Linked DNA regions of Mus musculus: regions 2, 3 and 4 are each reported to be linked to region 1. Evidence: microRNA targets listed by miRTarBase, many of them from high-throughput screens and not tested one by one. Region 1 holds a microRNA gene; each other region holds the end of a gene's coding sequence.

Evidence for each region. Region 1 holds the annotated microRNA mmu-miR-882 (AGGAGAGAGUUAGCGCAUUAGU, at 4,492-4,513, shown strand). A microRNA usually pairs through its seed, bases 2 to 8, with sites in the 3' UTR of a target mRNA and lowers its output. Matches are read on the target gene's strand: a 7mer-m8 pairs with bases 2 to 8, a 7mer-A1 pairs with bases 2 to 7 and ends in A, and an 8mer does both.
Region 2: miRTarBase lists Lyrm7 as a target of mmu-miR-882. Seed matches in the 3' UTR shown: 7mer-m8 at 3,502-3,508, 8mer at 4,244-4,251 and 8mer at 4,748-4,755.
Region 3: miRTarBase lists Nhlrc1 as a target of mmu-miR-882. Seed matches in the 3' UTR shown: 7mer-m8 at 2,493-2,499, 7mer-m8 at 2,507-2,513 and 7mer-m8 at 2,515-2,521.
Region 4: the mRNA of Kcnk3 is a reported target of mmu-miR-882. Seed matches in the 3' UTR shown: 7mer-m8 at 4,365-4,371.

The regions. Positions count from the first base shown.
Region 1 is chr12:109,677,716-109,685,627 of GRCm38, forward strand. It overlaps Mir882 (microRNA 882), which reads left to right and starts at 4,482; the gene lies at 4,482-4,558. It overlaps AF357341 (a small nucleolar RNA gene), which reads left to right and starts at 3,804; the gene lies at 3,804-3,878. It overlaps Gm22981 (a small nucleolar RNA gene), which reads left to right and starts at 4,669; the gene lies at 4,669-4,742. Gm25856 (a small nucleolar RNA gene) reads left to right here and starts at 5,279; the gene lies at 5,279-5,353. It also overlaps AF357428, Gm23736 and Gm23787.
Region 2 is chr11:54,835,942-54,843,853 of GRCm38, reverse strand. Lyrm7 (LYR motif containing 7) reads left to right here. Exons shown (of 5, transcript NM_029327.5): 5 at 2,652-5,504. The coding sequence ends at 2,722. Among named protein-coding and RNA genes, the nearest start is that of Gm31490, 20 kb to the left of the region's middle.
Region 3 is chr13:47,007,431-47,015,342 of GRCm38, reverse strand. Nhlrc1 (NHL repeat containing 1) reads left to right here and starts at 493. Exons shown (of 1, transcript NM_175340.4): 1 at 493-2,786. The coding sequence starts at 564. The coding sequence ends at 1,769. It also overlaps the pseudogene Gm5790.
Region 4 is chr5:30,619,743-30,627,654 of GRCm38, reverse strand. Kcnk3 (potassium channel, subfamily K, member 3) reads right to left here. Exons shown (of 2, transcript NM_010608.2): 2 at 2,385-5,764. The coding sequence ends at 4,818. Among named protein-coding and RNA genes, the nearest start is that of Mir5625, 24 kb to the left of the region's middle.

The sequences.
Region 1 (7,912 bases):
CACATGGACTTGTCCTATCTTATTTAGAGTAGTGATGAGCACACGCATAAGTCAGTAGTCCTCATTTGATTAGATGTATTCAGCAAATAAACTACTCTATAGTAATCCAGGTACTTCTTACATGGTGGCCAAAAATGTGAAGAAAATCATTCATCAAAACAAACGAGTAATCTACAACGATGTGGTTATTACTATAGTGCATATGCCTCTGCTTAACTTGTATTGTACGATTTATAAATTGCCAGTTAAATAATAATTAATGCAAGACTCAAGAAGTCATATGTTCCTCTAGTATAAACCAATGAGATCGATAGAAATAAGTCAAGTGGACTCTCCCTGTCTGCATGCACGTGCCAGATGACAGGCGCAGCTGTCTGAAACCTGGCCATCCAACACAGAAGATAAGTGGATAATCCTAGTTAGGAAAGCATGTGTCATGTTTCAGCCTCTGCTGCTTTGTCACACTCCCCAGAACAGGCATTCCTAGGCTCAAGCCATCTTCCATGGTCACCAGCCCACTTACGAGCTGACTAAATGTGTCATGGTAGACCTTAGCGAGAAGAATGACTGATAGTGGTCATGTGAATTAGATGCTTCGTATTATTTAGCAGAGAGGAGCAAGGGGCAGATCGATGGCTGTGCAGGGAAGACCTGGATACTTAGAATCAGAGGTTGGAAAGAAGAGCAGGGTTCCCTTAAGCTGGCCTGTTACTTCCACAGCTATCTCCCTCAACACAGAGAAATAAGCATCATAAAATGAATGTGAAATGTGATTGTATTAGGCCAAATGTGACCAATGAAACAAATTAAATTATCACGAATTAGACCGTTGAATTGGCCATGCCTGTAAAAGCAAGATTCATCTCTGAAGGAGACTTGGCATATGAGCTTTTTCTTTGTTTGAGAGGAGCTTCTGGCTTATTTCAGTCCTTGGGAAAGATAATAGAGATTTCTGTGGTTATCAGTGAAGAAGTGATTCCATGATCAGCCAATAGAAACGTGAATGCAGGAAAGCAGAGCCATACCAGATCAATGGGGGAGACGGTGGCTGTAAGAGAGGACACAAGTCCCTTTCTCAGAGGGCCATCCTGCACCAGAATTGTACTCCATCATAATTATTTCATATTTTAATTCTCTGAATATCAATAAAACAATAAAGGAGTATCTAAATGAGGGATGGATCCTCCCAGGGAAACAAGGTCCACATGAGTCTTGGTTAGGTTGAAGTAGTTCATGTTGTAAGTCATGATTGTCAAAGCAAATCCTTATAATATTGAAGACATGGAATCTATGATTCATCAAATATATATCATCAAATATATATGGAAATTGGAGGGTAATTAACATACATTTTAACATTGGTGATCTCTGAGTTCACCATATGAATAATTAAAGACTGGATGTGGCTGACACAGAAAAGAACGAGATGAAGCAATTATATTATATCATTTAAGTACTGATTTGTGAATATGAGATAAACAGATATTGGAGGTCAAGGACATTGAGTACTTTACTGACAAGTTATAGATACAGCCCAACACATACAGGCTATAGTTTGTGAATCTTTGGTTCATGGACATGTGTTTACATAAAGTTATCACAGGAAATTGAGTTGTTTGAATTGAAGTTAGGTGGCTAAAATGAGGTTCCAAAGGTAAATAAGAATGGTAGCAAATGCTAGAGAAGTCACTTGATAGTAATACTCCTCAAAATAAAGTTAGTGCAGAACGTCTGGCTGGAATGGGGTATCCTAGATGACTTGATAATCTCCTTGTATTGGAGGGAACGTAACCCCACGCCCTTAGAGAGAAAGCCAGGTTTTCCTTTCAAATGTAGGAATCGTGGGACAATCTTGAGAGCAAGTCTTTAGATTTTTACTTCTTTCTCTGCCTTCTACCATCCATGGAGAAGACCCAAGTGATCTCAAAGGTTTGCAGTGACGGACAGTTCCTGGGATGCCATAGCAACAATTCAGAGCTCATGGTGACTTGACATCTTCGGCTTTGATCCTTCGGTTGGAACCTGCTGATAGGTACAGAGAATCTATTCTAAACACCAAAATCTGGGTGCTTAGGCAGAGTATGTCGAAAAAGAAATAATCTAGTTAGCTCAAGGACTAGGCAGTGAGGTGCCCCAGCACAGGATAGTCTCCTACCATGTAGTCTTCCGAGTGTACCCAGTAGCCAAGGACTGAGCCATTCCTGAAGCCTCAAGAGAGGAGCCTAGCTCAGGACCGATGATGAGATCTGATGGTGTCTGAGTGTTTCTCGATGACATGAACAGATATCTGAGGTCAGGCAAAGAACATCTACAACTGGGCTGCCTTTTGGTGTTTGCCCATGGCCTAAGACACACAACATACTTTTCAACACTGCTCTGACTGCAACTTATTTCCATTAGGCCAGGAAACGTGGCTGGCAGATAGGCAAACTTGGAGCAGAAGGGGTGCCCCCATGCCTGTGCCTACAGGCAGAGCAGCACAGCTTAAATACTCCATGGGGTATGTGGAGCGATGGCCGATAATTTTCTGGCTCCATGAATGATGACTTAGTATAGACAGAGGCCAGCTTATTTTTCTTGGGAAATGGCAAGAAATTACTCTCTCTTGGGAAGAGAAAATACAATTATAGCCTAGGCAAAACTTATGAGCCTAGGTTCTGTAACTGTGGAGGGCACGGAATGGTATCCCACAGAGTCTCAAAGATATCTCTCCTTTCTCTCCCCTGTTCTCTTCAGAAAAGCTGACTTAACTGATGGCACAAGTGTACTCTGAACCAGAACCCACTTCGGTCTTCACCGTGACAGCCTGAGCCCTGCTGACTGAGAGGCGGCATTTTGATCTTCCTCACTTAAGGTATGAGCTTGTAGGTATGTGTAGTGGTGAGAGTGTTTCTGCCTTAGTGCAGTAGCAGAAGACTCTTAGGCCATTAGTACAATAGTTGGTTGTAATTTTTGGCTTCTAGTGGCTGCTCTTCAGGGGCTGCCACACAGAATGTTCTAATACCCTGTGATCAGAGCTCTGCCCTCAGCACCCACTAAGCAATTAAGGTGTGCAGTTGGCTAGGGAGAGAGGGGGCCCCATCCAGGACCAATGATGAGATCTGGTGGCGTTTGAGTGATACTCCATGAACGCCAAGTATCCAGAAATCTGAGGTCAATCCCGATGCCTTGCTAAGAGCTAAGCTCTGGATGGAGGCCCATAGGTCTACGCCCGTCCCTTGTGGACCTGTGCTTCGAGGCAAGGGCTTGAGTGCTCTTTGATCATGTTCCTCAGAATCAAGGCTGGGGCAGCTTGAGGTCTGTCCATGGAACTGGGTCAGAGGGGCCCTGAAAATCTACTTGGATGAGCTGGAATTCCACAACCACTCCCTTAGAGATAAAGCTGACAAGACAGTGCCCTTGAAATGTAGGAATCCTGGGTCAAACTTGGGAGCATGTCTCAATAGTTCTATTTTTTCTCTACCTTCCAACATCCAGAGAGCTGACCCAAGTGATATGAGAAGTTTGCTGTGATGGACAGTTTCTGGGTGCTTTGCCAACAATCCAGAGTACATGGTGACATGTCAACTCCAGCTGTGATCCTCCTGTGTGGCACTGACTTACAGGTATGGAGGGTCTCTTCATAAAATGGGTGTCAGGCAGACTATGGAGAGAAAGTGTTAATTTCATGCTAGCTTGCGGACCAGGCAGTGTCAAGCCCCCCCACAGCACAGGATAGCCTCCTACAGTGTGGTCTCTTGAGTGTACCACAGTAGCCAAGGAATGAGCCATTCCTGAAGCCTCAAGAGAGAGGAGCCCAACCCAGGACCTATGATGAGATCTGGTGGCATCTGACTGTATCTCGATGACAGCCATGAGAACAGATGTCTGAGGTCAGGCACAGAGCAACTTCAGCTGTGTGCCTTGTGGTGCTAACTAATAGCCTGAGATCGAGGAAAGCGGGATCATTTGTGTCACCTTTGCTCCTTAAACTGATCAGTTTCCATTAGGCAAGGACTTCCAGAGAAGCAACGTCGGGTTATAGTTGGTAGGACCATGACCTAGGGCTTGGTGGGGAGCAGCATGGCTTGGGAGATCTAAGAGGCATGTTGATAGATTGGGGAGATGATAGGCTGACCCCATGGAGGACTCCTTAGCCTCTTCTTGGTCCAATCCTTTTTTCTGGCCCCTGGTGAGAAATTAGTCTCTCCTGGGAAAAAAGTTTCAGTGCAAAGTAGGCCCAGCTCATGACCATTGGCTCCGTAAATGGGGAGGACATGGGGTGGTGGCCCACAGAGTCTCAACACTGACTCTCTCCTCTCTGCCCTGTACCCTGCAGAAATGGCGACCCAACAGATGGTACCAGCATGCTGAGATATAGAACCACCCTTGTATCACCACTGTGACATCTCAGAGCTTTGCCGACCAAGAGGCAACATCTTGATCTTCCTTGCCCACCAGCTTGCAGGTACGTTTAGTGGCAGGAAACTGTGTCTTCCTTACAGCAGTACCAGGAGAGAGTTAGCGCATTAGTGCAATAGTTAGTCCTGATTTCTGGGTTTTTCTAATGGCTGCTCTTCAGGGGCTGCCACACAGAATGTTCTAGTACCCTGTGATCAGAGCTCTGCCCTCAGCACCCACTAAGCAATTAAGGTGTGCAGTTGGCTAGGGAGAGAGGGAGCCCCATCCAGGACCGATGATGAGATCTGGTGGCGTTTGAGTGATACTCCATGAACGCCAAGTATCCAGAAATCTGATGCCTTGCTAAGAGCTAAGCTCTGGATGGAGGCCCATAGGTCTATGCCCGTCCCTTGTGGACCTGTGGTGTGAGGTGAGGGCTTGATTGCTCTTTGATCATGTAGCTTGAAATATTCCCATGGAATTTCGTCAGAGGAGCCTTAAGGCCACACCCACTTTTTTTTTTTTTTTTTTTTTGAGAGAAAGCCTACAAGATAGCATGCTTGAAATGCAGCAATTTTGGGACAATGTAGGGACAGCGTCTCAATTTTCCTTTCCTTTTTCTGCCTTCTTCCCTCCAGGAAGGTGACTCTAGTGATGGTAGAGTTATGGATAATGGACAATTCCTGGGATGCCATGGCAACAGTCCACAGCCCATGGTGACTTGTCAACTCCAGCTCTGTTCCTTCTGTGCGCACCTGCTTATAGGTATGGAGATTTAATCAAAGCATCGGTGATCAAGCAGATATGGGTAGAAAGTGTTAACTTAGTGCTAGCTTGTGGATCACACAGTGTGATGCCACACTTACCAAGAATGAGTCAATTCTGAGAGAGGGGAACCCAGAACAATGATGAGATCTGGTGGCATCTGAATTTTTCTTGATGGCATCCATGTCAAGAGAAATCTGAAGTCAGGTACAGAGCCACTTGAGCTGAACTGCCCTCCATTGTAAGTTCCATTAGCAAGGAAACATGGCTGACAGGTAGTCGAAGTTGGTTTAAATTGTGCAGAACCACAACCTTGCATGGGGACCTCACAAAGGGCATGTTGAGAAATAGGTGTACTGAGATGCTGACCCTAAGCAGCATGCCAGAGCATAGAGGGGACCCAGCTCTTTTTTCCTTCAAGTGGAAAGAAATTAGTCTTTTCTGGGAAGAAAATGTACAGGTACAGCTCAGGCAAAGCCCATCAGCCTGAGTGACGTCACCGTGGAGAACATGGCATGGTGACCCACAGTCTCAACACTCTCTGTCCCTTTTCTCCCCTGTTTTCCTCAGAAAGGCTGACCTGGTGATGGTGAACCACCACCCCAAGTCTGCATGTCACAAATCAGCATCTCTCTCTCCTATGGAGTCTGGTTCTAGGTCTTGACAGGTATTCGTTATCAAATCAGTCAAGTGAACTATCATTGATAAGATTCATTAAGTTCATTAAAAGGGGGCAGTACACCCAGTTTCATAGAGTGAATCTCTGCTTGTGTGTCCTGTGAATTGTCTTTTTTTTTTTTTTAATGGCTTACTAACAGGTCTTTCTCATTTTCCACAGAGGCTGATTGACTGATGTCATTGCAAAAGTTTCCTGTCATAGAGAGTTCCTCTGATGTCCCTTCAGCACCACTACAACTGGTATTCACTTTAGTTTCACATTTCGGGCAGATCATGGTAAAACCCCATGGTCATATCACATAGTTCTTGTGCACGTGGCATGTGTAAGATCAATCATACAGCAATAGCTTTTAACTTCAAAATTGAAACCAAGCACAGTCCAGCTGCCACAGAGGTTTTCAATTTCTTTTCTATTTCGTATTAACCTTATAGTCTCCATTTTTTCCTCAGAAAATTTATGTTATATATGTTAAAATCATTTTTAGCATATCACAACCTATGCATATTAGAGTTTGTTTCCATATTGTGATTCATATTTATAATTGTTAGGTTCTTCTAAACTTGAAGCCACAATCACATATTACTGTACTTGGCTTGGATTGTCCATGATAATGACATTGAGAAAGTCTGTCACGTGTCCAGGGTCGTGTGCCACTCACTAATCTTTTACAGCATACATTCTATGAGTAGTGAGTGACCCTCAAACATTAAAACAGAAACTTCATATGAGTCAACACAGCTGCCCCTGGGAAAAGGTGGAAGGAAAATAATATGGTTGACCACCACATTAGTTATAAGTCCCTACCACCCTGTCCTGAGTCGGGTCTGTGTGGAGCAACTCCTTACTCTTTATTCTTTTATTAATGATAATGCAAACATTACATCCTATAGCCGAAGTTTACGTTCTGGAGTACATAAGGAATCATTCATATTATTTAGTCATGAGTTAGATATATGGCTCTGTAAGTCAAAGCTGAAAGCTGTTGCTCTTTTATCTGCTTTTAAAAGTCATTTAACAAATGCTTTGTTTTGTTTTGTTTGTTGTTCCCCACATCGCGCCTCTGAGAGCTGACTGCAGGATTTCCTATGTTTAATGACTGCCTCAAGGTAAACATGGGTAAAAGCCATACATTTTGTCGATGTTTTGGTTATTATGGCTGTAACTTTACAAAGCATGAAATAGAATCCTACAGGTCTACTCTTACTTTGTCTTTTGGGGTGAAGATGGGCTTGTGTCCTGAGTAAATACGATGTCTGAAGATGGTTCATAGCACTTTCTTCATAGCGCTGTGAATACTACAGTCTGAATATATCAGAGAGCTGTGCTCCTGTTGAATATTTGTGTATCACCAGCATTGCTAGTGAATTATTGGCTTAGCCAGTAAATAGTATCTATGAGAACGAGGAAAGGTCAAGCCATTTCTGGACCAATGATGATAGTTACCAAGGTATGAGAGAGATGACGAATAACACTTGTCTGAAGCTCAGAGGTCCAACCCAAAAGATAGGTAGATAATCAAAGGTCCTTGAAGGACAATGGCATTTTTTTTTTCTTTTGTGCTCTGTTTTGTACTCCTCAGAATGTGTGCTCCTAGGCTGATGTCTGCATTTTCTATGATCAGCAGTGGAACATTTGCACCTCTGCATTGAACATGGGGCAGTGTGAGTACTAGTTACTTACTATCCCTGCTTTTTATGCAGTCTGTTGAAATTTGGTTACTTCATTATTTAAAAATATCTAAGAGAGCTGGTAAGGTAGAGAGAGAGAGAACAGATTCCTAGATATTAAGCCCTTGTCTCCATGCACATGCCCTTGGCATGCATGTTCATAAACACAAGTGAATATATTCATTGAAAATAAGTTTTAACTATGGTTGTATTAATTCAGCCAAATACAACCAGTGATGCCTATGGATTTTAGTTGAAATAGGACAATGAGTTGGCTATGTTTGATGCTCTTCGGCTCCTCATTGAAGGAGAGAGACACTTGGAGGTAAACTGGATCTTTAGAGGAGTGTCTTTCAGTGTGTTTCAGTACTGGGAGGAATAAATAGACTTTTCATTTTTATTAGTGAATTAATGATTCAAT
Region 2 (7,912 bases), not on the chromosome of region 1:
CTTCAGTGTAATAGCTCAGATTCTTGTATTTTCACTATAAAAACCATTTGTGAATCCTTATGCTATAGAGTGGCTGTGGTTTGTCTTTCCCAATAGATAATGAACCCCTTGAAGCCAAAGAAACTTTTTTTTAAAATTTTTGTTTATTTTTGAGACAGGGCTCTCTATTATGTAGCTCTGGCTGATCTGGATTTGCCTTATAGACCAGACTGGCCCTGAACTCACAGAGATCCATCTGCCTCCCAAGCGCTGAGACTAAAGGCATACAGCACCACTGCCCGGCTTTGTTTTTTGTTTTTTTGGGTTTTGTTTTGTTTTGTTTTGTTTTTCTCTGAGACAGAGTTTCATTCTATAGCTCTGGCTGTCCTGGAACTTGATATGTAGACCAGGCTAGCCTCAAACTCTGAAAGATCTACCTCCCTCTGTCTGTCTTCTGAGCATTGGAAATAAAGGTGTGAGCCATCATGCCCTGTCCCCTGAATGCACATTCCTTGAATATGAAGGACAGTCCTTAACTATAGTTTAATTATCAAAACTAGGGGATTCATGGAATACCATTGTTTAAATTTTTTCTTTCCTCCTAATAAGGCCCTTTGTTTTTTTGTTTGTTTCTTTGGTGTTTTGTTTTGGTTTTGTTTATTTGTTTTTTGAGACAGGATTTCTCTGTATAACTCTGGCTGTTCTGAAACTCACCCTGTAGACCAGGCTGGCCTCTCAGAGATTTGCCTGCCTCTGCCTCCCGAGTGCTAGGACTAAAGGCACACCCACCACTACCCAGTTAACAATGCCCTTTCTAGTAGGAGGAACCCCTTTCCCCTGTGGTCCAGGGTGCTGCTGAGTTTCCTGAGTCTGGAGCAGTTACTTATCTTTCATCACTACCTCTAAAGATTGTAGGCAGGCTCTGGGAAGAGTGGTTAGGGGGGCATTTGCTCTCTTGTTTGACACAGAATTTCATATAGCCCAGGCTGGCTTAAACTCCCTGGGTAGCTGACTTCTGATTCTCTTTTCTCTACCCTGAGTGCCAGGATTAGAAGTATGTCCCACCACAGCAGCTGGGCTGAGTGAGCACAGGGCCTTGTGCATGGAGGCAGGCACTTTACTAATCCAGGCACATCTCCAACCCTGCTTTTGTTGAGACAGGTTTAACTAGGCTTGTCTGGAACTCATTGTATAGCTCAAACTCTGTTCACAGTGACGGCGATCCTCTTGTCTTATCCTGCAAACTGTTAAGATTACAAATGTGAGCCATCACATTGAGGCTGTGAGGATGGCCTAGCTGGGTCCTGCTCTTCCCAAGAAAGGGGGGTGGGTGATGTATCTCACTGCCTTTTTTCTTTTTAATTGTTTTTCAGTATTGAGTATTAGACCCAGGGCCTTTAAGACAGGGTCTCACCACAGTGCAGACCAGCCATGGCCACGCTATGTACTGCAGGCTGGACTTGAGTGCAGGTCTCACTGCCTTTGCCCATGATTCCTGGGATTATAGGCACACGTCAGCAGATGTGGGCAGTTTTCTCTTTCTCTCTTTTTTTTTCCTTTTCCATTTTTCTGTGTGTATGGGTGCATGTGCACCCCTGAACCTAATAGTGGGAATTGCCCGCCTTCTTTTTTGTTTCATTGAAGCAGGGTTTCTTGGTTCGGCACTCAGTTCCCTGACAAGGCTCATCTTCCTAGGGGATCTGAACTCTTCCTGTAGTAAGCACTTTAACCGATGAGTAATCTCTGAGGCCCCAACGCTGTCTTGCCTAGCAGTCAGCAGTTGGCTGTTCAGCAGTGTGTCTCAGTGGGGACACCACTGTCACTGTGTGTCTCAGTGGAGACACTGCTGTCACTCTGCCATGAAGTATAACCCTCTCTGCCCCAGACTGTCTTTCACACCACAGTTAGCATCCTTGGCTCCTGCCCAGTAAATTTTTGGTAGCATCCCCTAAGTGGTATATCTGAAGACTCCTTCGGTGAGGAGCCATTGTTCTAGGGGACAGGGTGTAGCTCAGTGGTAGAGTATACACTCTGCAGCCTGTGAGGCCCTGGGTTCCCAAGGCCCAGGAACAAGAAGGAAGGGAGGGAAGGAGAAGGGCAGTTGTGGGAGGGGAGGGGAATCATTCTATAAATTTGGAATGTCTGAATTATGAGAGTGATGTCTTGCTTTCTATAAAATTTTTCAAGTATCCAGGCATGGTGTGGTACACCTGTAACCCCATTGTTGGGAAGTGGAGGCTAGAGAATCAAGAGTTCAAGGTTAGCCTCAGCTACATGGGGAGTTCAAGGCTAGCCAGAGCTACATGAGATCCTGTCTCAAAAATCATTCATAGGTGACATTTTTAAAGAGCCATTGACAGATTAGTGTGTTTTTAGCTTAATTCCATTCAGTCATTTATTAGTTGTGTTTAATGAAATGATAAAGGATTTGGTTGTATATGTTTTTTGTAACACGAATGAAGATCGTATTAAATGTTTCCATTTAGACTCACATAGTCACCTCAGACATCAGCTGAAATAAAATGTCTGTAGAATAGTGCATGCTTCCCAAATTACACAACTCACGGTTAGAACTGCTGGGGAGACGGATGTGCCGGCCCCAGGTCTACTTTAAGATAAGTAGTGACTGGAGCTCTAACCGTCTTAACCGCTCATTTCTCTGTTCCTTTTAGAACTGGTCCCCAGGAAAGATCTTCTCACAGAAAATGTGCCGTACTGTGATGCGCCAACCCAGAAGCAGTAAAGCTTCCAGGATAAACCCATCTCTGCTCCTTCCCACTTTAAATACATACCTGGCAACGGTCCTGGACATGCACATGTTTCTCTCTGAAGCGCACGTTGCAAATGAGCGACAGGCTGAGGGCTACAGAGGAGATAGACATGCCTTTCACTGACATGGGCAACTGAAGGCCTGGGGAGGCAGGACGCTCCTCTCTTTCCCTTTGGTAGGTCTTTTGGTCTTCCAAAGCTGTTTGCCAATGAAGCACCTTACCAAATTGGTGACTTTTCATCTCATGGGACATACATAGCTAAATATAAAATGCTACATTAAATTGATGTTTAATCCCCAAAATATTAAGTTGGTAAAAAATTAACATTTTTCTTCCAGCTCTCGTCTAAAAGCAGCCATTGTTTCCCAAAGTCCCGTGGTTATTTTTGCGGCTAACAAATAATTATGTAGTGTATTTCTCTGCATTCTTACAAAGACAACGTTCCCCTTTTTGTTTTGTATGTATGGGTGTTTTGCCTGCTTAAATGTCTATGCACCAGGTGTGTATGCAGTGCCGTGCCTGCAGAGGTCAGGAGAGGGAATTGGATCCCCTGGGACTGGAGTTATAGATGGTCATGAGTTTCCTAGAAGAACAGCCAGTGCTCCAAAGCACTGAGCCATCTCTCTAGCCCCATGTAAAGACATTAGATAGATGAAATATCAAAGTCACTCTGGGTCACTGTAGTGGCCCTCTGTCAGATGGCTTGTGGTCTTTGTAGACTGCTGTGAAATGCTATAGATCTCTCTCTCTCTCTCTCCCTTTCTCCCTCCCTCCCCCCTCCCCACCTCTCTTTTGAGATAGGGTCTCCCTGTGCAGTCCTAGCCTTGAACTCTAAGATCCACTTGCCTCTGCCTCCCCAGTGCTTTACATAATTTGATCTCTAGTGTTCCAAATAAATAATAGTAATAATAACAATTGGATTTTATCAAAGTTAAAAACATTTACATAACGATTAGTGAACAATTATAGATGAAATATCTGTCATATATATGATGATTCTATAAAACATATGTTACCAGGTATGAAAAAAGAGTTATCAGACTATATAAAGGACTTCAAATATTCGAAAGCAAGCAGGGGCTGAGATGGCTCAGAGGTTAAGAACTCCTGCTGCTAGGACCTGAGTTCAGTTCCCAGCACCCTTTCAGGTAACTCGAAGCTGTCACTCCATTTCCAGGGGATCCTGTGCACTCTACTGGCCTCTAAGGGCACTGCATTTACATGTATAGACTCAAACCAACAGTGACACACAGATGCATAATAAAGGAATCGTAAAACAAGCAACTCAACTACAGAGAAGTGATTTCCTGTTTATTGGTGCCTTGCTGCTTTGTGTGTCAGCTTACTACTTGCATGCCTGGTGCCCACAGAGACCCCATAAAGGTTGTCGGATACCTTAGAACTCCTCTCTTACAAAGGGTTGTGAGCCGCCGTATGGGTGCTGGAAATTGAACCTCGGTCATCTGGAACAGTGTTTCTTAACCACTCAGCCATCTCTCCAGTCCCTCAACCCAACTTTAAAAGTAATATTTGAACAGATGCTTCATCAAAAAAGATACATGGAAGCTGTCAGGGTTGCCAGTTTTGGAACCCACAGGATGGAACGAGAGAACCAAATTCTGCAAGTTCGTGCTTCATGCACACACAATCACAGTTTTGAATTTTTTATTTTTTGGTCTTTTGAAACAGGGTTTCTTTGTGTAGCTTTTTCTGTCCTGAACCTCACTCTGCAGACCAGGGTGACCTCAAACTTACAGAGATCTCTGCCTGCCTCTGCCTCCCAAGTGCTGGGATTAAAGGCATGCGCCACCACGACCTAGCTTAAGTTTTCTCTTTTAGATCTTATATTTATTTGTATGAGTGTTTTGCCTTCATGCGTTTTTGTGTGCCACTTGCATCTCTGTTGTATTACAGATGGTTGTCAGCCAACATGTGGGTGCCAGAAATGTCACTAAGGGTCTTGGCAAAAGCACTAAGTGCTCTCAACTGCTGAGCCATCTCTCCAGCCACATTTTTTTTTTTTTTTTTTTTTTGAGACAGGGTTTGTCTGTGCAGCCCTGGCTGTCCTGGAACTCACTTTGTACACCAGGCTGGTCTCGAACTCAGAAATCCGCCTGCCTCTGTCTCCTGAGTGCTGGGATTAAAGGCGTGCACCACCATACCTGGCTACAAATTTTTAAAGATATGCAAATGACAGATATAGTGTGAGAAGTTGCTAGTACATTAACAGGCACTAGGAATTAAAATCATAGTGACATAGTTATGTGTCTATTAGAATGGCCGAAATCTGGATGGTTGACAATATCAAGTATTGGCAAGGATATGACTTTTCTGAGACAGGGTCTCACTGTGTAGCCTTGGCTAGTCTGGAACACATTATATATTTTTTTCCTTATTTTATCAAATCCCTAAATTATCCATCATCCTATTGGCTCAGGACAGATTCAAGTTTTATTGTGATGGTTGTTTTTGCACTGCTGTGATAAAACAGGTGAAGAATAACTTACGGGTTTGTGTTACAGCATGATTTCATTCCAATACCTTAAGGCGACACCTTAACAAAACATGGTGGCAGACAGGAAACACTTGGCTAACTAAGCCTGGCAGGGAGTGGGTGGGCAGGCATAATGTTAAAATGACTGTTTCTAGTGACCTACTTGTGCCAATCAGGTTCCACCTCCTAAAGGTTCCACATGCTTCAAAATAGCCCTATGAGCTGGGGGAAATAAAAACAAAAAACAAAACTGTGGGAGACATTTGAGAGTCAAATTGTAACCTGTGTGTGTGTGTGTGTGTGTTCGTGCACTTGGGTGTGCACCTGTGATTGCATACATTTACATGCTATGACATACATGGAAGTCAGAGAATAATTTGGGGAGTTGATTCTCTGGGACTTGAACTTGGGTTGTGGCAGCAAGCACCTTTTTTTCTACTAAACGGTCTCATTGACCTGCATTATATGTGTACCTTGAGTTGGAATTGTGAAGGCCTGAGGCTATAGCTCAGTGGTATGAAATTTGTCCAGTATGTACAAGGCCTGAGGTTCAATCTCCAAGAAAACCAGATGAAACAGAATGAGTGAGGATTGATAATTCTGTGCGGAGTCTGTGGAGTATGGGCGGCAATGTCCACACAGACTGTGCCTGTCTTTGTCAGGTATCCCAAGGATACCTGGAGATTCCCATGCTGCTCTGTTAATGTAAAAAAGAACGCTAGGGATGTGGGTGTGGTTCTGTTAGCTGAATGCTTGCTTAGTGTGTATGAAGCCCTGAGTTCTATCCCCAGCACTGCCTAACCCAAGTAATTCCCCGAACTTGGGGGTGGGGGTAGCAGCTTGAAGATCAGAAGTTCAAGGTCAATCTGAGCTTCATAGCAGGATTGAGGCTAGACTGATGTGTGAGACCCTGTTCAACAAATGATGAGTTTATTAGAGTATTGTCTAGGGGGCTGGAGAGATGGCTCAGCGATTAAGAGCACTGGCTGTTCTCCCAGAGGACCCAGGTTCAATTCCTGCACCTACATGGCAGCTGGCAACTGTAACTCTAGTTCCCAGTGACCCGACACCCTCACACAGACATACATGGAGGCAAAACACCAATGCACATAAAATAAAAAATAAAAATATTTTTAAATTGTTTATAAGATGTAATACACAATGTGATGTGGTTCTATCTTTTATAGTCTTTTTAAAATTCATTGTGTGTGCGCACGCACGTGTGCGTGCGTGCGTGCATGTGGATTTGTGCATGTGAGTGCAGAAGCCTGTGGAGGCTAGAGGTGTCAGATCTCCTGGAACTAAGAGTTATGTATGATCATAACCAGACTGAATTGGGTGCTTGGAGCTGAAGTCAGGTCCTCTGGAAGAGGGAACAGTGTTCTCAACTCTCCAGCCCCCAGTCTTACTATCTTAAAGAAATATAAGTGCGGCTTAAAGAAATATTAACTGGGGCTGGCCATGATCATGTACATGTTTTAATATCAGCACCCAGGAGGCAGAGGTAACCTGGTCTACATAGTGAGTTCTAGGACAGCCAGAGCTATGTAGAGAGACCTCCATCTCAAACAAAACAAAATATAAAATGGGCCTGAGAGGTTAAAATATGTACTTCTCTGGCAAGCAGCAGAACTCAAGTTCTGCAGGTCCCCAAACCCAGATCATAGTGACTGGCTCCAAGGGGTGTGACACCCTCCCCTCCACTCTCCAGGAACCTGTATTCACATGTGTGTGACTACACATATACACACAGGTAAAGACAAAAGCTAAGTATAAAATAACTCTAGACCTAACTCTGTTTTAAAGAATATGAATCGAGGTTTAATAATAATTTTGAGATGGGGTCTCATATAGCTTCGATTAATCTCAAACTATATTCCAAGGCTGACCTAAAACTTCTGATCCTTCTGCCTTCACCTTCCCACCCGGGGCTGGGATTACAGGTGTGCACCTTGTGCCTGCTTCGGGGGAAAATCAGCTCTTGCTGGTGATGGAGGGGTACTCCGTGGGAGCGTGAGCTTCCAGCCACACACAGCTTACATAGATTCAAAAACAAAAAACAAAAACCAGGAAAGTGAAAAGACTAATGTTTTAGCTGGGGTTCCCAGGGACAAAGATGCTCGTGGGAGGTTTAAATTAGAGAACTCTTGGAAAGTGAAGAGGACAAGATGTAGCAGAGCCTGGGGCTGAAATGACCTTCAGAATCTGGTCACACTAAAGCAGGAGGTTGGGACTCCGTGTCCTGGCACCAAGGCCTGGCCTGCTAGGAGAGAAGCAGAATCTCTGAGCAAAGAGCCATGCCAGTGAGCCTCGAGCCATGCCAGTGAGCCTCGAGCCATGCCAGTGAGCCTCGAGCCAACACTCCCTGCAGCTGAGGAGAGAAGGCTCCTGCAGGCCTCTGCGCCGCACCTCTGAGGCCATCACTGCCTCAGATGCCAGAGGCGCCTGAGTGTTTCTCTGAGGAGCATGGAGTCTGTGAGGCAAGAAGCTGGGTACAAGCCGAGAGCCGTGTGAATTAAAGCTCCTTCCAGTCATTCGTTCAGCTAATGTTTTTCTAGTTTGACTTACATGGAAAAAAAAAAAAGAAGTCCACTAAAGGGTGAACAGGAGACAGGACTCTAGGCATGGTTATGCCACTGAAAACGGTGTGTTTGAGGAAAGCATGAGT
Region 3 (7,912 bases), not on the chromosome of region 1:
GCTGGCCTCCAACTAACCACCAACAGCTGTTCTCCTGTTTCTGCCGCCTGAGTCCCGGCATCACAACTATCACACCCAATTCTTTGACGTCTACGTAGCTACCTTCTCACAAGAAGGAAAAAACACAGCAGAGAGGAATGCACATCTGCCCCTTGAAGTTATCTTCTTTCTTGTGTCTCTGTCTTCAGAATCTTACTATACAGAGACTAGGAGCCATGTCTTGTTCCTGTCTAGCCCTGGTACCCACCTCCCAGCGAAGCTGACTGGCAGTCCGTTTGGGCACCATCCCTGAGAGACTAGCTGTCACTTACAGGAGGACACGGAGAGACCCACTCATCACACCCCGCCCCCACACCCGCTGACATGTCTCAATCTTTAATCCTGGAATCTTCCACCCGTGACGTGATTATCCCAGGTCTGCGCACGGCGCATGCGGACGACTGCGTCGTGCGTCCGCCAGGGGGTGGCAGTGTGCGCCCTGCGTCAGAGCGCATGCCCCGCTCCGTGACCGTGACCGTGGCCGTGACTGAGGGCTGCGCGGAGGCAGCGGAGCAGCGGGAGCAATGGGGGAGGAGGCGACGGCGGTGGCAGCGGCTGGGGTGCGGCCCGAGCTGGTGCGGGAGGCGGAGGTCAGCCTGCTGGAGTGCAAGGTGTGCTTCGAGAGGTTCGGCCACTGGCAGCAGCGGCGCCCGCGCAACCTGCCCTGCGGCCACGTGGTCTGCTTGGCCTGTGTCGCCGCTCTCGCGCACCCGCGGACGCTGGGCCTCGAGTGTCCCTTCTGCCGGCGGGCCTGCCGAGCCTGTGACACCAGCGATTGCCTGCCGGTGCTGCACCTCCTGGAGCTCCTGGGCTCCACCCTCCACGCGTCCCCGGCTGCCCTCAGCGCCGCCCCCTTCGCGCCGGGGACTCTCACCTGCTACCACGCCTTCGGCGGGTGGGGGACCCTAGTGAACCCCACAGGGCTTGCACTGTGCCCCAAGACCGGACGGGTAGTGGTCGTGCACGACGGGAAGAGACGGGTCAAGATCTTTGACTCCGGAGGAGGAGGTGCACACCAGTTTGGAGAAAAGGGGGACGCAGCGCACGACGTGAAGTACCCACTGGATGTCGCCGTCACCAACGACTGCCATGTGGTTGTCACCGACGCTGGCGACTGCTCCCTCAAAGTGTTTGATTTCTTTGGCCAGATCAAGCTGGTTGTGGGAAAGCAGTTTTCCCTGCCTTGGGGTGTGGAGATCACCCCTCACAATGGGGTCCTGGTGACTGATGCAGAGGCAGGGACTTTGCACCTGCTGGAAGCGGATTTCCCTGAAGGGGTCCTTCGGAGGATTGAGAGGTTGCAAGCTCACCTATGCAGTCCCCGTGGGTTGGCAGTGTCATGGCTCACGGGGGCCATCGCGGTCCTAGAGCATCCTTGTGCCTTTGGGAGGACTGGCTGTAACAACACAAGGGTGAAGGTGTTCAACTCCACTATGCAGCTGATTGGCCAGGTGGATAGCTTCGGGCTGAACCTCCTCTTCCCCTCCAAAGTAACTGCCTCTGCTGTGACCTTCGATCACCAAGGAAACGTGATTGTTGCTGACACCTCTGGTCCAGCCATCGTCTGCTTGGGGAAACCCGAAGAATTCCCAGCCCTGAAGCCTATAATCACTCACGGCCTCTCCCGTCCTGTGGCACTGGCCTTCACCAAGGAGAATTCTCTTCTTGTGCTGGATACTGCATCCCATTCTATAAAAGTCTTTAAAGTGATGGAGGGCAACGGAGGGTGATGGGGATCCTGAAGCCAGGAGTCAGAAATCTTGGTGTCATTGGGAGTGAATTGGTCTCACCCATCCATCCAGACAGAAGTAATGGTAACTGAATGGCAAAAGCAGTTACTAAGGCAGTTTTAAAAGACTAATAATTAAATTTGTCATTCGGTGAATGCCTGTTCCCGTGTTAAGAAATTTGCAGATCTTAGCCTGTTTGCTTCTTAACACACAGCGATGTTAATTCCTATTATCCGTCCACTTGGGAGATGAGAAGACAGACCCAGAGCATTCAGTATGGTTTCTTTAGAGTTGTATTCACTGGGACAGTTGAATTCAGTTCTGGCTCCAAACCACTTGCTCTTAGATATGATGTTAGATGTCGTCAACAACAACAAAAACTGTGAGCTGTGTCTTATGTATGTATGTTCTCCTTACAAGTGGGTAACTGGTAAAGTGCACAAAGACAAGAAAGGGGTCTTCATGGGGATTTTAGGAGAAAAGGGAAGTTGTCCATCACCTTCAGCTGTGAGCTCCCCCAAAGGTAGAGTAGATAGCTTATTACCAGTTCCAAGATTTGAACAAGAAACAAAGTTGAGCTCTTTCCTTATAAGGCAAAGGCTGCCAGGATGATAGTGTGTGCCAGAACTCCAAATCCTGAGAAGTGGAGGCAGGAAGTTCAATGCAATCTGCAGCTTAGCTACCTAGTAATTTTGAGGCTAAGCTGGACTAGTGTGTTCTCTCTCTCTCCCTCTCTTTCTCTCCCTCTCTCCCCCTCTTTCTTCTTCCTCTATGGGCACTGGGAACTATCCCGCAGTGATAATTTGAGAAAAATCTGCAGAGCCACTGCCTGCTAGCGTCATGGGCATATGAGACTCGTGTTAATTAGATCTTGCCCCAGCACATTGATGGCAGAAGTGATTTTGTTTGGTGTGGTAAATCTCTGACGCCTGAAGCACTTTGTGATGGAGGCTTTTCTCTGTGTAATTTGAAATGTGATTCAAACACTGTACTTAATAAACAGTCTTCGTCCTTTTAGAGTGCTGGAAACGTGTCTTGAATGGAAGCACAGCCTTGACAATGTAAGGGCTCCTCAGTGCTGTAATTGAGGGGAGGAGTGGAGAATATTTGGGGTGAAATGCTGATCCTCTCTATTTTTTTTTAAGCAAGCACAAAAATCTTTGAGTTCAGGGATGTTGGAATTATACCAAATAACTTACACCTCTGGGGCAGCATGAAAATGTTTTCTGGGGATGCTTTTGAGAGGTGAGAGTTTGCTTTAGATAAGAACTAATGTTGTGTCAACAAAATGATATCCTTTTATACAAAGAGGCTGTTTGGGGACAAGGTCTTGTACATCTTGGACCGACCTTGAACATGCTCTGAAGCTAAGCCTGACCTTCACTTCTGATCCTCCTGCATCCATCTCCCAAGTGCAGAATTAAAGTCAAGTACCACAACACCAAGGGTTCTGTGGTGCTGGAGGTAGGTAGAACCCAGGGCGTCATACATGCTAAGTAAGTGTTCTACCAACTGAGTTACAGCTAGCTCTACAAAGATTTATTTTATTTTTTATTTATTTATTTATTTATAGACAGGGTTTCTCTGTGTAGCCCTGGCTGTCCTGGACTCACTTGTAGACCAGGCTGCCCTTGAAAATTCAAGAGATCCGCCTGCCTTCTGCCTCTCCTGCCTCCTCTGCCTCCTGCTTCCTCTGCCTTCTGCCTCTGTAGCACTGAGATTGAAGGCACACACCACACTCAGCCCCTATGGTTTTAATAGAGACACTCACTGAAGTATGACTGAAAGTGTCTTCCAAAGGATACGAATGCTGACATCAGGAGCCCAAGGTGAAGGCCTAGCTGCCATGCCATCCCATTAAAGCCTGTGTTTCTTTTTAAATTATTACATACATTTATTATTTATTGTATGTATGTTCACACATGTGCCTGTGTGCATGTACACATGCCATCATGTGTCGAGGTCAGAGGACAGCTTGAGTGACACGCCTGTTCTCGTCTGCTACCATCTGGGTCTAGGGTACTTAACTCACATCATCAGGCTCTGTGGCAAGCATCTTCACTCCCGAAACATCTCCTCCCCTGCCCACACTGTTGCTTTAACTGATTCCATCCCAGAACATCAATAGTAACATTTTGGGCACTGCTCAACACCACTGGTCCTCTAACAGGAAGCCCAGTGGTTGAATTCTTCTCCCTCATCCCGATGCCCTCGGCTGGGCATTGTAGCACACACCTAAATCCTAGCACTATGAGACCAACCTACATAGTTAGAGCCTGCCTCAAAAAAAAAAAAAAAAAGTCAGATAAATTATCACCATAGACCAGTAACTTTACAGCTATTTTAAATATGTAACAGCAAAACTTAGATAGCAACTGTGGATTGATCTTACAGTGTTTTATTTCAGAACCATTACATTTGGATAATGTTAGTGTCTGTTGACCCAATTCAAAGATTTGAGGGGGGCAGGGCCTGCACGCTTGCGCGAAGGACTGGGCAGCGGTTGCCGCGCCCCTCCCCCGCGCGGCACTCAGTGCCAGGCGGGAGGCGGCAGCGGATGGATGGAGGCTTCTCGGGGCTTTGCAGCAGGGACTTCGGTGGCGCCTCAGGCACCCGGGCTCTGACACGATGCGGCGAGTGGTGCGGCAGAGCAAGTTCCGGCATGTCTTTGGACAGGCGGTGAAGAATGATCAGTGCTATGATGACATCCGCGTCTCCCGAGTCACCTGGGACAGTTCCTTTTGCGCCATCAACCCCAGATTCGTGGCCATCATCATAGAAGCAAGTAGGGGAGGGGCCTTCCTGATGCTCCCTCTGCACAAGACGGGACAAATTGACAAATCCTACCCTACAGTGTGTGGCCACACAGGACCAGTGCTGGACATAGACTGGTGTCCACATAACGATCAGGTTATCGCCAGCGGCTCAGAGGCCTGCATTGTTATGGTTTGGCAGATCCCAGAAAATGGACTGACCCTTTCCCTGACTGAGCCTGTGGTGATTCTAGAAGGCCACTCAAAAAGAGTTGGCATCGTGGCCTGGCACCCGACGGCCCACATTGTGCTTCTCAGTGCAGGCTGTGATAATGTCATTATCATCTGGAACGTGGGGACAGGGGAAGCCCTCATCAACTTGGATGATATGCATTCAGACATGATTTACAACGAGAGCTGGAGCTGTAACGGTAGTCTCATCTGCACAGCATCCAAAGACAAGAAAATGAGAGTCATTGACCCCAGGAAACAGGAGATGGCGGTGGAGAAGGAGAAAGCACACGAAGGAGCCAGGCCTATGCGTGCCATCTTCCTGGCGGACGGCAACGTATTCACTACTGGCTTTAGCCGCATGAGCGAGCGGCAGTTGACGCTCTGGAACCCAAAAAAACATGCAGAAACCAATGCTCTCCATGAAATGGACACTAGCAATGGAGTGCTGCTCTCCTTCTACGACCCAGACACCAGCATCATCTACTTATGTGGGAAGGGTGACAGCAGTGTCCGCGGATGAATTCCCATATGTCCACTACCTCCACACATTCAGCGGCAAGGAGCCTCAGTGAGGGATGGGCTACATGCCCAAGCGGGGCCTTGACGTCAACAAGTGTGAGATTGCCAGATTCTTCAAGCTTCATGAGAGATAGTACGAGCCCATTATCATGACGGTCCCCAGGAAGTCTGACCTCTTCCAAGACGACCTGTACCCTGACACAGCGGGGCCGGAAGTTGCCCTTGAGGCCGAGGAGTGGTTTGAGGGGGAAGAATGCAGACAGACCCCATCCTCATATCGTTGAAGCACGGGTACATTCCAGGCAAGAACGGGGATTTCAAGGTGGTCAAGAAGAACATTCTGGACGGCAAGCTGGCTGCAAACAAGAAGAGCAATCTCAACTGTGCCCCCAAGAAGCCCACAGACATGGCCAGTGTGCAAAACGAAGCCAAGGTGGATGAGATTCTGAAAGAGATCAAATCCATAAAGGAAACAACCTGCAGTCAAGACGAGTGCATTTCCAAGTTGGAGCAGCAGCTGGCGAAGATGGCTGCCCGAGGCTCGCCCACCTCCACGGAAGGTGGCTGCTCCTCCTGGGCGCACTCCCAGCCAGGGAGGGCAGAGAGGGAGACACTGCCATTTGGAGACATTCCATGTCAGATCTGTCAGGCAGTGATAGGTCACATTCCAGTAAGAACTCTCCCAGACCTGAAAGCTGAGCTTTTCCTCAGGGAGCTTTGATGTTTGGCAGGTCTGCTGACTTGCTGAGCTTTCCTACATTTGAAATGCCAGATATTCTGAATTTTAGAGACCAAGCCCCTCCCCCGCCCCTCCCCGACTCCCGATTCCCCACCCACCCACCCAGCGTCCTACTCACACACCTGATGACCGGGCCAGGGCCACCTCTGCTCTATGTCTCATCCTTTTTAATGTTGCCAAAACCGAAAGTAGCTTTTTTTTTCTTTGTATTTTTCTACTTTGCAGTATTTGTGTGGTTTTTCTGTCTTTCTTTCTTTTCTCTCCTCAATTTAAAAGGGGCAGCACTGTGCATGTTTATAAACTAAATGAAGATGAGATGATTATTTTGTATAAACACTCACGAGAACAATCAGTGCAGCCGCCTGCACAGGGCTGGCTCACTCATAGCACAAACCTGGGCGTTAGTCTAACGACTGTGCAGAAGGAAGACTTGAGAAATCATGTGGACCCACACACTGCCCCCATTCCATTGAGTCTTCGATCAAAAGTCCAGTCTCTCTCTCCTTGCTCTCTCTTTCCTAGAAGTTGGGTGGTTGCACAGAGGGAACTCGGTGATTATACTCTAACCTGAAAAAAAATTTTTTTTTAAATTATCACATATTTAAATTTTTTTAAGTAAAAAATTTTTTTTAATTTATTTTTATTTCATGAGCAGTGGTATTTTGCCTGCATGTATGTCTGTGTGAGGGTGTCAGGTCCTCTAGAACAGGAGTTACAGACAATTGTGAACTGTCATTTGGGTGCTGAGAATTGAACCTTGGTCCTCTGGAAGAGTAGCCAGTGCTCTTAACCACTGAGCCATCTCTTCAGCCCATTAGTTTCATCTTTTACTCTACAGCCTATGTGCTTGTTTTGTTTAGTTAAGAGAGCATATAGGCACTTGGATGTCTGCAATGGAGAGTCAGGTGTAGGTTTGTGGCGCAGTGCTGGACTACGCTGGAGATGTGACGACTGTAACCTGGTACTTTGTGGCGGCTTGTCTTTCTTGGGAGTAGGGTGGGTCAGGGTACACAGCAGGAAGTGTCTAGGGCAGATCTTCCCGTGAGTCTGTTATACGGAACACTTCAGCTGTTCTTCATTCCAAGCATCCTCAAGTCAGCAGCCTTGTGATGTCGATGTAAATTCTGTCTTCCATGCTGTGTTCTTTAAACCAAACTGATGATTACAAATGAATTCTCCAATAATAAAAAAGAAATGGATTTCTGTTTCAGCAGATCATTCAGGGTGCCAAACGTGATGGGAAAGAGCTGAAATGAGAGGGGAACATGACCTAAAGTAAAGAATGAGGGAAACCAAACTCTTCCAGGACACCAGCCATTGCCCTATCTACTGAGACCACATGCGTGACAGTGCCCATTCCACAGCCTCCCACCACCCTCTGCCTTGTCTCCTCTGGCACTGGGAGCTCATTTTGACCTTACTCTGGCCTCTAGATCTTACTTTCCTCATCTTTTACCTTTGGCATTTTTTTTTTTAAAAAGACATTTGTCCCTTTTTTTTTTTTTAAGATTTATTTTATATATGTGAGTACACTGTCGCTGTCTTCAGACACACCAGAAGAGAGCATCAGATCCCATTACAGATGGTTGTGAGCCACCATGTGGTTGCTGGAGATTGAACTCAGGACCTCTGGAAGAACAGTCAGTGCTCCTAACCACTGGGCCATCTCTCCAGCCCAGGGTTCATAGTCTTAACTCTCCTAGAAACTCTAGCTTTGGCACGCAGGGCTCAGACTATCAAATGTGATCGGTCCTTATTTAGACCTGTTTGGAGCCTCCACTTGGAGGCGGTGCAGACCCCACTGGAGATGAGTTACATGAACTCCTTGAGAAGGAAGTATAATCCCATACATGTCAGGGGAAATGAGCAAGAACTGATGATCACAGATTTCAGTGTAC
Region 4 (7,912 bases), not on the chromosome of region 1:
CTCCCTGCCTGCTGTTAGACCAGTGGGCTGGCTGCTCTGAACCTTTTTTTTTTTTGGTACATAATGAGCTTTGCTAGTGTGTATTTCATGTTGTTAGAGCTGCCAGTTACAGATGACTTACCAATTATTAAAGTTTATATTTACCTGTTTGTTTATTAATTCATTCATTTATTGAGAACTTTATGTAACCCAGGATGACCTTGAACTTGCTATGTAGCCCAGGATGACCTTGAACTTCTGATCCTTCTACCTTTATCTCCCAAGTGCTGGGATTATAGGCATGTGACGCCTTTAGGCAGTGCTAGAGATCAAGCATTGGCTTTGTGCATGCTAGGCAAGTACTCTACCAACTGAGCTACATCCACAGACCCTAGTTGGGGATAAGAGGGAAGGATAAGACCTACTTCCCTATCAGTGATATTGTGACAGCCGAGGAGGTCCCCAAGTGTGCCCTGGGAAGTCTGGGAAGTATCAGGCCAACAGAGGATCTGGTATGGAATGAGTTTGAGTGTTACTCAAAACGAGCAGTGGTTTCGCTGCAGGTCTTCTAAAAACTTTTACTAAGCTTAGAGTTTTGTGGAGTTCAGACAGTGGTGATGTGTGCATCCTTCTTCCAAATTCATTAGAGCAAGGACTACCCTTCTCTTCCTTCTTGGTGTTTTGAGACAGGCTATATGCAGGCTGGCCTCAAACTCATGCCAATCTCCCTGCCTTAGCCTTCTGAATTGGAGATTGCAGGCATGAGTCACCAAGCCCAACTTAGCACCTCCCCTATGAGCGGCCACTGGCTTGCTTAGAGAGGAGCTGCCATTGCATCCCTCTTTTCTCTTGGCTCCCAGGAAGCTTATTCCCATTGACTCTCACCCAAATCCCAGTGCTGGTGGGAACTTCAGACATTTGCTCCCGTTCCCTCTCCTCTGCAGGCTTTCAACGTCCATTTTCCTGTGTCTTTCAGTTCAGGCAGCCTCAGAGGTGAGGAGGTTGGGGGCATGTGGGGGGGGCACTGACAGTGTCTGGACACGAAGATCCTGTGTTAGTGCTGAGCTCTGGGTAGCTCTGGGTGGGACTGGGGTGCAGGCCCCCTCTAGGAATCCCTGCAACATCTGTTTGTGATACTTTGTCCAGGGCGATGTTGAAAGTAGGGCAAGAGCCATGTTTGTGTCCCGCAAAGCACTGCTTAGGAAAGTCCAAGTGACCATGTGCTGGACACCACTGACCTCCAGAAGGACTCACCTCTGCTGACGCTGTATCTCATAGAGCTGAGCAGCAAACCTTTGGGCTTTGATTAAGACGAAGTAGTCTTAGGAGTGGATGAGCCAGGTTTTTACTGTGCCCAAACAGAGGCCAGTAGATTACCAAGAAACATGCCATAGAACCTGCCTGCTGTTACTTCAAGGGATGCCTAGAGATTCATCCCAGGGAGGCTGGTGTGTCCTGGAAAGGGCACAGGTTTTCTTTGAACCCAGAACCTCTCCACAAATATGTCCTATCTCTCTAGTTGGTCTAAGTAGATAGAAGGAAAGATTAAGGGAATGTGTCTCTAGCCCAGGTCCTTGTTTCTCTAGCATGTCTTTATCTGTGAGTAAAGGGAATCAACCAAATAGGTCCCAGGTGGCATTTAAAACAAGGAATAGAACGGATATGCACACCCTGAATGTGGTAGGGTGGTTGTGAGTCATGGCGTGCAGACAGATTTTGGTGCCAAAGGTATTACTATGGTTCATGCTTAGGGAAGCCTGGATACCCTTGGCTAGTTGAGTCAGGTGTTGGTACCAACTGGGCACAGTGCATCTGCTTTCTATATATCTGTCTTGGGCTCTAGGGTCCATCCCCAAGCATGTGCTACTCTAGACCATGAGTAGCACACCCTAAGAAAAGGTATTTGTGATGTGCCCATCTTTGAAAGTGATATTAGTGTGTGTGTGTGTGTTGTGTCCATCAGGCTACTGGGGTCAGGGAGGAGCTGAGGTCACCCCTGGAGGCTGGGGCATGTCCTGTTTGACTCTGCAGTCAGCTGAGGAGACAAAGTGGGGAGTCACCAGCTTTGCTTCTTATCCTACCTAGGTTGCCATTCATGGCTGTGTGACTCAGGGCAAGTTACTTGCCCTCGTTGGCCTCGTTTACTTGTGTACAGAGGGAGGAAAGGGCCCAGTCATTTCTAAGGTCCTGTTCTCACAGTCTGTTCCAGGAAGACGGAATCTTCTGAGCTCTGGATCTTTTGAGAAAATCCTAAGTGAAGCCAGGCTTCACTCCCAGGTTTCTACACAAGAAACCTGCACCCAAAGCAGTCTGAGAAGCCCCAGGGGAACGCACTAGGTGAGTGGTGGGACAGGGTGACAGGGTGACAGGGTGAATGACTAATGACAGAGGAGCGGGAACCAGAGCCTGGTCTCCATGGACAGCATTTATTAGGCGCCATTCTCAGTGTGAAGACAGATGGGCAGGAGCTGCTGAAAAGGGGGCCAGGGCAGCCACAGCCTGGGGACTTAGGGGCTGCCCGGGTGGGTGTGGGGATGTCACCCACACATATTGCATATTCTGTGGCAGTGTGCCCAGGCATAAGGCATTGGGGAAGCAGAAAGGCTGCCTGCATGGGAGGGGGTGAGACAGGAAGTGACAGTGGCCTTCTAGTTCCCTAGGCAAAGACCCTACAGGAGACCAGCAGTCCCCCATGCTTAGACCCTAGGGCCACTCTGCTGCCTTCCCCACCCTCTCTGTAACTTTGGTTGTGGCTCCCTCGGATCTGACGGGACTTGACCCCTCGAGGGCAGGGTCACACACAGGACAGAGGCAGCCAGCACTGCCTCCAGCCCAACATAAACACAGACAGCACCTCTCCAGCTGCTGGGTTCCATTCCCCCTTGACACAGGGGCCAGCTCCTCCACACGGACATGGGATACACACAGGCCAGATTCCTTCCACCTAAGGATTTCCCAGGACCTGGAGGACATGGTGGGGCTCTCTCTCTACCTCCCCAAATGGTCACATTGGCCTTACTCAGCAGTATGGAGCTAGGCCTGGGAACAGTGAGCAGAAGGCAGCTCTGCAGGGGAAAGGTTTCCCTTTTCATGGTACTGGGAATAAAACTTGGGGCTATACCCATAGCCCCACACATACCCTTCTGTTGTCCTGGTTTCCACCTCCAGCTTGTCCCCAGTAGCAAGCCACCCTCCACTGGGTTGCAGGTAGAGGAGGTAGAAGGCATAGCAGGCCCAATACCTCCTTCCCTCCAGAGGGGTGTTCCTGGCTGCAGTGGAAGTTACTCTAGCAACTTAGGATGCATTTATCCTGGCTTCTAGGCCAGGGAAAACGTCCCAGGATATACCTGTCAGCTGTCTGGGCTGCTCTGCCCAGTCCCTGAACTCTCAAGAGTGCCAACTGCTGGCTTGTAGTCCATGAGACTCAGTCCTTCTTACCTTGGTCCCAAGGACTTCCCTGCTTGTGAACAGAGACAAGGGTCCATTTAGAGCCTCAGTCTCTGGGCTAAAGAGTACCAGAGGCAGAGCCCTGGCAGTGGCTCAGGCTGGGGCTTTTGATTCTGGTTTAAACCCCAGCTGCCTACACAAAGCTGGGGTGTTGCCTGCAGGGGCTTCGCTTCTGAGGGCAGGCTGAGCCTGAAGAAAGAGCACTTGGGCTGGGAACAAGCCGGCAGGCTGTTCCCCTTCAAGACACCCCGGGCAAGTAAAAAAAAAAATTTTTTTTTTTTTACCTGTTTTCCTCTTCTGAAAAATGGCCATAAGAACTGCCCAGGTGACTTAACTAGAGTGTTATTACACTCAAATGAATACGGAGGTGGCACAGGGTTTCTGGGACAAAAAAACAAAAAACAAAAAAACAAACAAACAAAAAAAAACAACCTATGGACGAGTGAATGAGCAGCTGCAGCCAGGGACAGCAAAGGGGAGTCCATGTTTTAGATTCCAAGGGCAGTCCTGAAGGCTGGAGTCTCTCAGGAGCCCCTGAGAATGTTCCCAGACTCCAGGTGGCTCACCTACAGATGTCCACCCCGCAGAGGTGGAAGCCACAGTTTCTGCACACACTCTGCTCTAACATCTGTGGCCTGCCCTTTTTTTTTCTTCTTCTTTTTTTTTTTTTTCTTTCTTTCTTTTTTATCTTGCCCTCTGGGGACTAGCTTTAGGGGCTGCTGGGGTTTCCTTTTTTTTTTTTTTCTTCCATAACTGCATAGCCATGCAAAAAACAGAAGGGAGTGGACACGTAAGGTAGTGGAAGGCTGGGAGACATGGCTGGGGATGAAAGCCAGGTGGGACTGAGTGGGGGTGACCTGGACAAAAACACCTTGGGCTTTGGAGAACCCAGAGGAGGTGTAAGTAGAAGAGAGAGAGAGAAGGAGGGAGGGAGGGAGGGAGAGAGAGAGAGAGAGAGAGAGAGAGAGAGAGAGAGAGAGAACCAAACCAAAACAGAAAACAGAAAACAAAACCCGAGAACATTAGTTCCCTCCGGAGGTGAGGGGTCTGGGGCCCCCGTAGGGCCTCTGAGGACTGGGGGCTTCTCAGCAGCTCCCCGTGGCTGCTTTCCGGGCTCCCCACCCCCTAAGTTTCACATTTCTCGGAATTCTTCGGCTCCGATGGGGGCTCCAGGGGTCCTCAGAGCCCCGCCTCCTGCTGGCTAGTGATAGCCTGCACAGTTGGAGATTTAGGGGCTGGGGAAGAGTAGAGGTGGTGGTGGTGGTGATGGGCTGGGGACTTCCCATGGGGCCCGAAGGCGTCTTTGGGGGGCCTTCTGGCCAACTCCTGCGGCTTCTGCAGGCAGGTCCCCTACCCCTCTGGCTCACAGGTGCTCCAGGTCTGGCTGTGGTTCACACCGAGCTCCTGCGCTTCATGAGGCCGCGGAAGGCAGCCAGGCTGTGCAGGCCCGTGGACACCGAGCTGATGGCCGAGCGCTGCGTCCCGCTGCACAGGCAGGGGTGTGAGGGCGTGTCGCTGTAGCGGCCGCCGCCTCCCGGCGACGAGTGGCTGTGCTCCACGCAGGTGTCGGACGTGGAGAGGTCCCGCGGGATGATCATGGGGATGGAGTACTGCAGCTTCTCGCGGCTCTTGTACCAGAGGCACGAGCACATGGACTGGAAGTGCAGCACCTCGGCATAGACGTTGCGGAAGCCGCTGCCACCGACGCCCACGCCCACGCCTCCCGCGGCCGCAGCGCATGTGACTGGGTCGCGGGGACGCACGCCGTCGCCCAGGCTACCGCTCAGGCAGCTCAGGCCACCCAGGCCGACAGCCTGGCCGTTGTGCGTGAGCAGGGCGCGGTGCTCCGCATCACGCTTCTCGTCCTCGGCGTTCATGGTCATGAATCGCAGCACCACGAGGTTGAGGAAGGCGCCGATGACCGTGAGGCCCGTGAGGATGTACACGAAGCTGAAGGCCACATACTGCGGCTGCGTCTGCAGCGCCTGGTCCTTCTGCAGCGCCACATAGTCGCCGAAGCCGATGGTGGTGAGGGTGATGAAGCAGTAGTAATAGGCCTGGAAGAAAGTCCAGCGCTCGTAGTAGGAGAAGGCAGCTGCGCCGATGCACAGCGTGCTGATGCACGACACGAAACCGATGAGCACCATGTTGGCCATGGACACCTCGGCGTGCCGCATGCCCAGCCCCCTCTTGGCACGGTGCAGCAGGTACCTCACGAAGGTGTTGATGCGTTCACCCAGGCTCTGGAACATGACTAGTGTGAGCGGGATGCCCAGCAGCGCGTAGAACATGCAGAACACCTTGCCTCCGTCCGTGCTGGGCGCCGCATGACCATAGCCTGTAGAGATCCGGGGAGAAGAGAGAAAGCACAGGCTGTGGGGCTGGTCTGGCAGGGGTCCCTCCTCCTCTGCCCATCCCCTTCCCTCCCCACTTTGCAGGTTTTGGACTTGGCTTTTCCTCCATTTCCCCACTTCTTTCTTTGCTAGGGTTTAGATATGTAGCCATGGCTAGCCTGGATGTCTGAATTTGTAGACTAGGCTGGCTTTGAACTCACTACATTGCTCTTTCTGCCTCCACCTTCTAAGTCCTAGGGTAACCGGCTTGCACCACCATGTCTGACGCCTCCGGCCCTAGCTATTGAGTCTGCTTTTCCATACGTGGGCACACCCATGTCCAGCGCTTCGGGCTAACCTTTAGTTTGTAACACGAAGTACTGGGATGATGATTCCAGAAGGCTTAGACTTTTCCAGGTCACATTGCCTGGAAGTTTAGCAATCCGAGTTTGAACTTGAATCTGCTTTCTTGAAAACTTGAGTGTCTCATGCCTCTTGGGAGGAGCTGGCTCCTGGTTCTGCTGGAAGGCTTGTCAGTAGGCAGGAGATAATGTATGTGTGTGAATGTCAGGTAGTCAGTTGAGAGTTGGCTTTCTGTGTAATACCTGTGGGCTCTGCCATGCTCTCTGTCCTCTGTGGGCCTCAGTGCCCGTGACTATGAGGGCAGGTAATTGGATGGAATGGCTTGTGACATGATGATTCAGTGCGGAGGGACGGAAACTGAGGCACACAAGGCCTCTTGATGGTGTCTCTGCTGCAGCCAAAGCTTATTGGTGGTGGTGCGGTGACCACTGGCAGCTTGCAATTTCCCTGAGTGGTTGGCCTAGCAATGGCCCAACCTTATCCCTACAGCTGAATTAATAAGTGCTCGGGGGGATTCCACCTTGTCTAAGACTGGGGTCTTCTTAGGGATTTGGTTCAAAAGTAGACTCTGAGTGTGTGCCTGTGTGCGAATGTCTGTGTGTGTGCGCGCGCGCGCGTGCGTGCGTGCACCCATGTGTGCATATGTGTGTGAGCGCACGTGTGTGTATGTATGTGTGCATGAGGGTGCCTGTGCGCGTGCGCATGTGTGAGTATGCCCGTGTGTGTATGTGTGTGCACATACCCATGTGTGTGCATGCATATGTGTGCATGTGTGTGTGAGCACGTGTGCACGTGTGCACGAGTGTGTCATTATCCTGCTCCTCTTCTGCCTCCATCCTCCACATTTGTGCTTATACTCTTCCCATCTGGGAGCCAAGCAGAGTCAGACCTGCCCCTCTGCACATCAAGTGACTATCAAAGTTTCTGCCTTGAGCTGGGTAGAGTGGCGCATGCCTGTAACCGCAGCGTGTGGGAAACTGAGGCAGGAGAGAGTGAGAGTTGGAGAGATGGTCTGAGCTACAAACCCTTCTCAAAACAGAAACTGCAGCAAAATCTTCCTGGCGGTCTGGGGCGGTGAGGGACGGTGGGGGGCAGTGGGGGGTGGTGGGGGGTGAGGAGTCAGGAAGGGTCTTGGATGAGAACCAGAAGCTTTGGGCACAAGCTCTGGCCTTATCCCTAGTGGTGTTGTGACCTCGAACAAATGACTCTTTCTCTTTGATCGTGTCTACTTGAAAATGAAATCTGTTCTGGTCACGTGCTTCTCCCACTTAGACCAGTGAGCATAAACACTTCAGTTTTTATTAAGAGAATTATGAGAATGAAAGAATGTAGGCAGAATTTCCAAGTATCTTTTCTTTTCTGGGTCTTAGGAAATCTCAACCAAACACTGCTTCTTCCAGGTAGTCTTCCTGGATTCCTCCTAGCTGAAAGTTATTAGTGCTTTATTTGGGAAGTTCTGAGAAGGCTTATTTATGAACTCCAGGTCTCCCAACTACATAAAGCTAAACATTAACTTTGGGGGGGGGGAGCCCTGGCAAGCCTGTAATGGCCCCCTCTAACTTCTACCTTCAAAGGGAGTCCTAATATACACATCATGATTATATTACAGACCAGGATATTGTGAGCATTGCCTGATCTGAGTTCAAATTCTCCCATCTACATAAGACATTTTTGAGCCTTACTTTTTACATCTGTAAAATGGGGCTAATATATCATCTGCAGCAAGGGCTTTGGAGGAATAAATGAAATAATGTATTGATGCACTTAGCCTAGAGCCTGGTATATCTCAA